Solanum lycopersicum: one gene and its partner. The protein of the gene in region 1 interacts with the protein of each later gene in a pairwise test. Links are inferred from orthologs where the notes say so. Each region holds a gene or a part of one and is shown on either strand. Other genes may lie near its edges.

The links.
Region 2: the proteins of FTB (region 1) and FTA interact in binary tests that used the Arabidopsis thaliana proteins (3 or more experiments, as listed by UniProt). The link is inferred for Solanum lycopersicum from reciprocal best matches to the Arabidopsis thaliana genes ERA1 and FTA.

What each region holds. Positions count from the first base shown.
Region 1 is NC_090801.1:65,768,341-65,772,168, reverse strand, and holds part of FTB (farnesyl protein transferase subunit B), read left to right. Parts: intron 1-472; coding exon 473-555; coding exon of another isoform or gene 556-636; coding exon 637-690; intron 691-1,175; coding exon 1,176-1,227; intron 1,228-1,854; coding exon 1,855-1,919; intron 1,920-3,234; coding exon 3,235-3,291; intron 3,292-3,441; coding exon 3,442-3,514; intron 3,515-3,828. UniProt on the Arabidopsis thaliana protein: Catalyzes the transfer of a farnesyl moiety from farnesyl diphosphate to a cysteine at the fourth position from the C-terminus of several proteins having the C-terminal sequence Cys-aliphatic-aliphatic-X (CaaX).
Region 2 is NC_090805.1:47,713,439-47,717,877, forward strand, and holds the start of FTA (protein farnesyltransferase/geranylgeranyltransferase type-1 subunit alpha), read left to right. Parts: upstream 1-1,351; 5' UTR 1,352-1,444; coding exon 1,445-1,681; intron 1,682-2,204; coding exon 2,205-2,314; intron 2,315-3,548; coding exon 3,549-3,669; intron 3,670-4,439. UniProt on the Arabidopsis thaliana protein: Essential subunit of both the farnesyltransferase and the geranylgeranyltransferase complex.

The DNA of each region.
Region 1 (3,828 bases):
TTGTTAACTCTATAATTCTGTTGGAGGACTTATAATTAAAAGATAATTCTATTAGAGGGAAATAGTCATCTGTATTGATATGCATTTAACTATTGGCATGGTCAGTGGTTTGAGCTTGGGACTTCCACGTTGGAGGTATCCAGTTCGAAACGGAAACGCCTTGCCAGCGAAAGCAAGGGGTTTGCCTTCTGGGTCGAGCTCGCATGGTGCGAGTTACCTCTCCTATGTAGTTTGCGAGCTATTGCATAGGAGCGGGGTTTTACCCTTGTCATTAAAAAAAAAAAGACTATTGGCCTGGTTCTTGTTCTTTTATAAGTTAGCTTGAAACTCTTTTTCTGTTTCTTTTAGAATCACAAATTTAACAGTTCCAAGCTTCGTTTATTCTGGTCAACCTGTTAATTTTATACAGTTCTTGTGCTTCTTATCATTAAGGTTCTTTGAAGTAATACTTGTATTGTATTGCTTTTTTCAGATGCCTCATCTTGCAACTACTTATGCTGCAGTCAATTCACTAATAACTTTGGGCAAACCTGAAGCTCTGTCATCAATTAATAGGTGCACAAGCTATAGTATGTTTTTGTTGGTGTCTTATCTATTGTTCATTCCTGTTGACATTGATCTAGTAATATGCCTCAGAGAAAAGTTGTACACATTTTTGCTGCGAATGAAAGACGCAAGTGGTGGATTCAGGTAGGATGCTTTCTACTTGTTTACATTATTTGATCAGCTCCCCAATTCATGTCTTCCCTTGTATCTCATTCCTAGTCTGCTGTATTTATCTACTATCAGTTTCTAAAAAAAATCTAGGTGCTTTTCTTTCTATTTGTAACTTGTTTATCCATTTTAAATTTGCCATCTCTATGTTGTATGTGCTAATGTTTTCCATTACTACTGATTCTCCTGATTAATCCTACCTGCTAATTTTGTTATGTTTTCCTTCTGAGGAGAACTAGACTTTTGGGTGAACTAGCACTGTAGTTGACACTTTTACCCTGATCTGTAAATGTATAAATATTTGTGTGTGTATTCTTGAGTTTGTAGATCCAAGTGTATTTAACGAACAGCATCTGAGAGATCACTTGTTTCTAGCATTTTCTTTCAATATTCAAGTTTCCTCAAAAATGACTTGCCACTTCCCATCTTTGCTAAGTTCAAACTTCAAATATTATCTGCAGGATGCACGATGGTGGAGAAGTAGATGTTCGTGCCTGTTATACTGCCATTTCTGTAAGTGTGATCTCCTTGTGATCTGAGTTCTGGTCATATTTTCATTATTTTGCTGCACTTGGATGGAAGACTCTGAGATAAGCTTTAAGCAAATATAATTTTCTTATTGATGAATCATGCAAGCTACGTATGTGAAACTTATCCTTCGGGGTGGCCTAGTGGCTTGGGCTTGGGACTTCCATGTTGGAGGTCTCAAGTTCGAAACCTTGCCAGCGAAAGTAAGGGGTTTTGCCTTCTTGTTTGAGCTTGTTGCACCGGGCTTGCCTAGTGCAGCTTACCTCTCTTATGTGGTTTGCGAGCTATTGCATAAGAGCGGGGGTTTTACCCTGTGCGCACCCAAAGGGTAGTGGTTGCGGGTTTCCCTTGTCATAAAAAAAATTAAAAATATGTGAAACTTAACCGTCTCTTTAGTTTTTTGAAAATAAATTAGATTCGAACATTTCCCGAATTTCATTCACGAGGCAATCAAAGCCTTCTGATACACGCCTCTCTTGCAAATCGTATAGATATTTTATACTTTATTACATACACATTTCTTGCATGTTACATTCTCAAGTTTGACGTTTTTCTTCTTAATTGTCTTTGGAATAATGTGCTTTCATGTTAATTGATACATTAGTTTCTTAGGTTGCAAATATATTAAACATTGTGGATGACGAGCTGATTCATGGTGTTGGAAATTACATCCTAAGGTTGGTTTGAGATGCGCACTCATCTGCTACAGCTTATTCAACTCTCTCTTTATGTATACCGTATTCATACTCAAGCTGTAATATCTCTTTTTGATTTACTAGTGTAGTTGTCTTCCAAGAGAAATTACACGAAATTAAAAGAGCATGGCAGAAATTTGGGAGTTTTAGAGGAGTGTAATCTGATAAAAAGATAACTATCAGAAAAGAAAGCAAGTTATATTACAAATGGTTGTGAGACTAGCGATAATACGTGAGTGATTGTTTTCTATAAAACCCAACATGTTCACTAGTTAACTGTCATGAATTATAGATGTTAATATGGATATTTGGTCATACAAGCTTGAAAATCAGATTGGAAATGCTCACCTCCAACAAAAGACGCAACAAGATAGCACGCATAGAGGATCATGAGTGAAGATTTGTCGAAATGGTTTAATTATGTTTACATTAACCTTCGAATATACCAGACTAGGTACAATACTGGAATAATTGAAGTTGCTATAAAGGCAACGAGGTAGATTCTAAATTACATGAAGAAAAACTGTTTAAAGACCTACAATCACCCAAAAGCCATTACATCAATTAGTTGAGATTAAGGAAAAGAAAAGAATTAGTTGTTGTTAAACTTACATTAGGTTGTGTTTGCCAGAGGTCCTTTTGTGTGGTAAGTTATATGTTTATGGCAGAGCAGGTGTGAGATTTTAAGAACTAATATATCTTAAAGGCAAAATATTGAGTATTGGGATGACACAAAGTAATGGATTTGGAGTATTCATATTACTGTCACCAACTAGTCAGTGCATGTTGACTAGTTAATTATACATACTAAATGCATGACCGAAGCTGGTACTTAAGTTGCATTGAAGGGTTTCTTTGAGATTCGATCCCATTGGTAAGAGAACAATTTTCCAAGTATCATTTCAGAACGATGTTATGTTTGAATATTCATGGCTCTGAGTTGATGACAGCCTCCATTTGTCAGGGATTAAAATATGAGAGATAAGTGATGTTTCCTAATTCTTGCCATCTGAGAAAGTTGAAAGTCCTTGAATAAAAATTGATGAAGGAACTATTCTTTTATTCTAGTTTGTTCTTATTCTTGTTCTCTGAAGTTCTTGATTTAATCCTAGTCTCATCATAAGAATTATTTAGCTAGGATAAATAAGAATTTATTCTATTTAGTGTCAGAAATACAAGATAAGAAGCAGGTGGCAGATCTTTCTTTTCCTTAATGTCCCTCATTTTTTGTTTGAAATATTAAGAATGTATTTTCATGGATAAGCCTTTCCTAAGCTGTTCTCCGTTTTTGCTTCAGTTGTCAGACTTATGAAGGTGGAATTGCTGGCGAACCAGGTTCTGAAGCTCATGGTGGGTAAGTCTCACGTTGGAGATATTCTCATCTTTCTAATCTTGTTTCGCTCTTTTTCTTATAGTTCTCTTTCAATGTTAGTTGCCGTAGTAGAACTATCACTTCTCAGCTTATGATGTTACTGAAGCCCTTTACATTTAACTCATTTTCTAGGTATACTTTCTGTGGGTTGGCTGCAATGATTCTGATCAACGAAGTGAATCGATTGGACTTGCCAGGTTTAATTGTAAGTTGCTTTAGGACTCTGTTGGGGACTGATGAGTGTTGCTAAGATAATCATGTGTGTGTACACTCTCTTTTTTTAGCATCAGAGTGACAGGACTATGGCATTCCTCTCACTGTCATGAAATGGGATATTATCATTTCTTTTTTGTTACTGGCCTTCATGACTGATTAAATGAAACTGAAACAAGATTGTTATAATAGTTGCATTTTAGTTTGTCTTCACAAATGTTCCACATTGCTTTTTTGTTGCTTATCATAAAATGTAAAGGAGAACAAAAAGAACGTAGACTCTTCTCTCAGAAAGTTACTCAACTT
Region 2 (4,439 bases), on another chromosome or scaffold:
CAATTACAGAGGAATTTGAGAAATTGATGTTAGTTGCTCATAGAATCGACTATATAATGTTGATATTTAAAGTTGTTGATCGATATCAATTTTGCTAGAACTGTTTGAATCAATATATAACGTTTTAATATCATGTGGAGAAATAATAATAAATTATTATTAATATTTATATTTTAAATTTCAAATGTAATATTATATTTTACACAACATATTCAATCTAATTCATAATCAATGCCTATGTATTTGATTTAATATGTCGTGATCTCTTTTAATACATTTAGATAGTAACAATAATATTTTGTGGATAATAAAGAAAAAGCTCTTCAACTTTAAAACATATTTACTTATAAGTATCAATTTTATTAAGGGAAAAAGTATAAACACATTTTTAAACTGTCATAAATAGTATAGGTAGATATTATTTATTATTCTTTTGAGATATTGATTTATCTGTAGTTAAAAAACTAAAGCATATAATATGGACAACTTTTACATATAGCAAACAAAAAATTCATATTTGTATGTTATAGCAAACTTTGCATAATTGCGTTCCATAGCAGACATAAAACTGTATAATTTGCTATACATATACAATTGTATAATTCGTTGGCCTAAATTGTATAATTCGCTGGCCTATTTCGCTGCAATTGTATAATTTATTTTGCATACAGTTGAATCGAATTAAAATGCAAGTATATTGCATAATTATAAGTGTATAGCATGAAGATATATGTTTTTGTTGCTTTATACAAAAACAGAAACACAATATATATACTTCTGTTGTATAAAGCTAGAGAAAATTGTTTTTCACTGCAATTGTATAATTCGTTGGCCTTTTTCTCTGCAATATTTGAAGTAAAATGTTTGTAACTTGTATAATTAAGTGTATAACACGAAGATATACATTTTTGCATGTGTATATACAATTTTCTCTCGCTTTATACAAAACAGAAACAGAATTATACACTTCTGTGTATAAAGCCATAGACGCGAGCGAGATTTTTGGGAGAGAAACGCTGCAAATTTTAGCTAATGTTTGCTATGGAGCATAATTAAATCAAACTCTAGCTATTCCATTTAATTTAGATTATTAGTTTGTTATTATATATAATTTTCCCAAATATAATGATATATATATTTTTAGTTTTTGTATAGTAACTACATTAATGTCCTAAAAATATTACTAAACGTTCGATATATTATTTTACTATAATTTGAAAATATATATATTTTTTATTAATAAAAACATGAGACGGAAAAACATATAACAATATTTGAATAAGCATTTAGTCATGTGATATGGGATATGGAATCTAGACTTTATAGTTCCTTTTATAATTGAAATACGTTAATATTAATTCTATATTCCTGCTACCCCGAAGGCAATTCCAGTATTGAACTACCGCCGGCAGTTTTCCGATCGGATCCCGGAGCCGAGTATCAAATGGACAGTTGTGAGGTGACGAAAACGCGAATTCCTTTCAAGGAAAGGCCCGACTGGGCCGATGTGAAGCCCGTTCCGCAAGACGACGGGCCCTGCCCGGTTGTTCCCATAGCCTACACAGAAGACTTCTCTGAAACCATGGACTACTTCCGGGCAATTTACGTAGCCGATGAGCGATCTACACGCGCCCTCCAGCTTACTGGTGAAGCTATTCAGCTAAACCCTGGAAATTACACTGTAAGTCTGTAACTGCAATTACCTCTTCCAGTTATATCATTTTGGTTGCCTTAATGCAGTATTGTGGGAAGTTTTGTGGGATTATTTTGGTATATAATTGAAATTTTTGTGTGTAAAAATGTGTAGAGTTCTAATTTGAACTTAAAATGGAAGTTCGTGAGGTAATTGGATTAGAATCCGTATACATCATTGAGGCTCGAGGAAGCTCTAGAACCATAACACTTCTTATGGGTTTAAACCAGGATTTAGTTGTATATCTAACTAAGTCTATATATACCTTTTTCTTTCAGACACACGCACAAACTATACATGGACACACTTAGTGAGACACATGCATATAGGGTTCGAGCCTGGAGCTGTTGTTCTTTGGTTTTTCTATATTAGTTTATCACATACACATCTAAACACTCATATATATGGTGCACACTAGTGACATACATATAATGGTGCACAATAGGATGCTGCTTTGTAGACTATACTGTACTACAGAGTTGTTAGTTAACTGTTAATTTTTCATGTTTAGGTATGGCAATTTAGGCGTGTTGTGCTGGAGGCATTGGGTGTTGATTTACGTGAAGAATTGAAGTTTGTTGATCGCATTGCTGGGGAGAATACCAAAAATTATCAAATATGGTAAGTTGAAAATCAGGTCTCTGCTAAAGTAAAGGTGATGTAATGTAAATGCTTTGTTGACAAGTGACCGATATTGCCTGTCCAAGGCTAATGGATATCACATGGAGGAACTGCATGATTGTAGACTCTGTCAGTGAACTGAAAATGTTGTACTGCACAAAATTGTCTGCATGGGAAGACCAAATTTTGTAGATGAAAATTGGAATTAGGAAAACTCATTGACAAGGGAAATCTTGGTTATTAAACTCACTTATCTTGCAGTGGGTCTCAGGTTCTTGAATGCCGTATATAGCCTTGAGTCAGTACACTGCCTTGGCATCACTTGAAACATTATTGAAAGGTGATTATGAGTAAACGTATGGATTCTTTTTGTGAGTGTTAAATTTGACAGCTAGGCTTTGTTCGTTTGTTTGAAAAGGATTTTGTTTCAGAAATCTATTTCAAGAATTATAAAAAAAATATTAGGGATAAAATTTTAAAAACTTGGTAAATAAAAGTGCTTATAATCTGATAAGTCGCAAATTGGAGTTCAACTTATGATTTTTGGTCGATGTTGGTTTATACTACAGATAAGCCAAAAAGTGCTTATAAGCTGGATTTATCGCATTATAAGATTATGCAAACACACTCAATATCTATTAAAGTTACGTAGAACGTGATGGTTTTCTCTTTTCTCTTGTTCCATTGTGCTTGGATGAAATAAGCATTCTTTGGCAACTTTGGATGTTAAGCTTGAACGGGGTCTAAGCTATCATGGTTGGTTTGACCGTGACTTACTACTCAAGCTCTTAATATGCTTTCGCTTTGTCATCCAACCAAGGCTCATAATTGTTTTCCTTCTCAAAGCTAATCCTTGAGTTCAAATTTGATCTTTGTTTTTTAAAATATACTTTTTAAAGTTTATTTTTGGAAGTACCATCCTCCGTGTTAATTGTCTTTCTAAATTTTGAGTTGGCCCACATGCTTTTCACTTTTGTACAAATTCTTGCGACCCATGTACACTTGCATGTTGTCCGTGTCTCAAGATTTTCTAGGTGTTTTTTTTTGCCTATGACTTTCTTTTACCCTTTTCAGTACCTATGTGTCTACATATTATACTTGACTCTGTTATAGCCTTAACAGAAAAAGAAAGTTTTTCCTCCATAGGTTATTCTTTATCTGTTGAATTCTTTATTTGTATTTAGTTGTAAGTATGCACACGTTGGTCGAAATTCTTAATTATAGAAATTTACAGGCATCATAGACGGTGGCTTGCTGAGAAGCTGGGAGCTGATGCTGTGACAAATGAGCTAGAATTCACCAAGAAAATATTTTCTCAGGATGCAAAAAATTATCATGCTTGGTCCCATCGGCAGGTTGTCTTTGTATCCCTATTTTTTGTTTCGTAAAAGTAATGACATTGCCTGTTTGGAAAAGCTCTTTTGCATGAGTTGTGTTTCATGGTACCAAAATCATGTTTTAGATTATTCAAGTCCATGAATTGAGCCAGATCCTAGATAAAATTGACAAGATACTAGGTCAAAGCAGGGTGACTTAAGATCATATTAAATGTTAGGACCTCCCTCTTCCTATGAAAGTTCATTACATTTTATTTGGATTCTTGCTTCGGTGTCACTTAATAAACATCTTTCTTGTAATTAATCCCAATTATATTTTGCCCTGTAACAGTGTTTCAAAGGAGATATAACTTTGAAAGGCCCAAACTCTCCTTGGACTTCACAAGTAGAGCGTAATAAAAACATGGGCTTTAATATAAAACAATTTCCAAATGATGAAAATATATTAATGCAAGAAAATTTACTACATACATGAACTTTCTAGCGTACACACGGTTCCTTTCGATTGGAGGCTGTCGCTACCTGGATCAATCAGCCTATTCAAGTTCACTCACTTCTTAAAGAGAAGAGTGTATAAAATTCCAATTGAATAAAATATATGAGGTAAAAATTAAATCAATTTTAATATTCATTTTACTTTCTGTGTCAGATGCAGCAGTTTTAAGTTTTTGATTTGGGAGTAGAACTAGTTTTCTTGTGTTAAGTTCCTTATTTTGTTTACCCAAGGGTGTGGCCTAAACCTTGGTGATTACAGTTCTCAGGTATCAACACCTTTGTTGGTGGGAGGT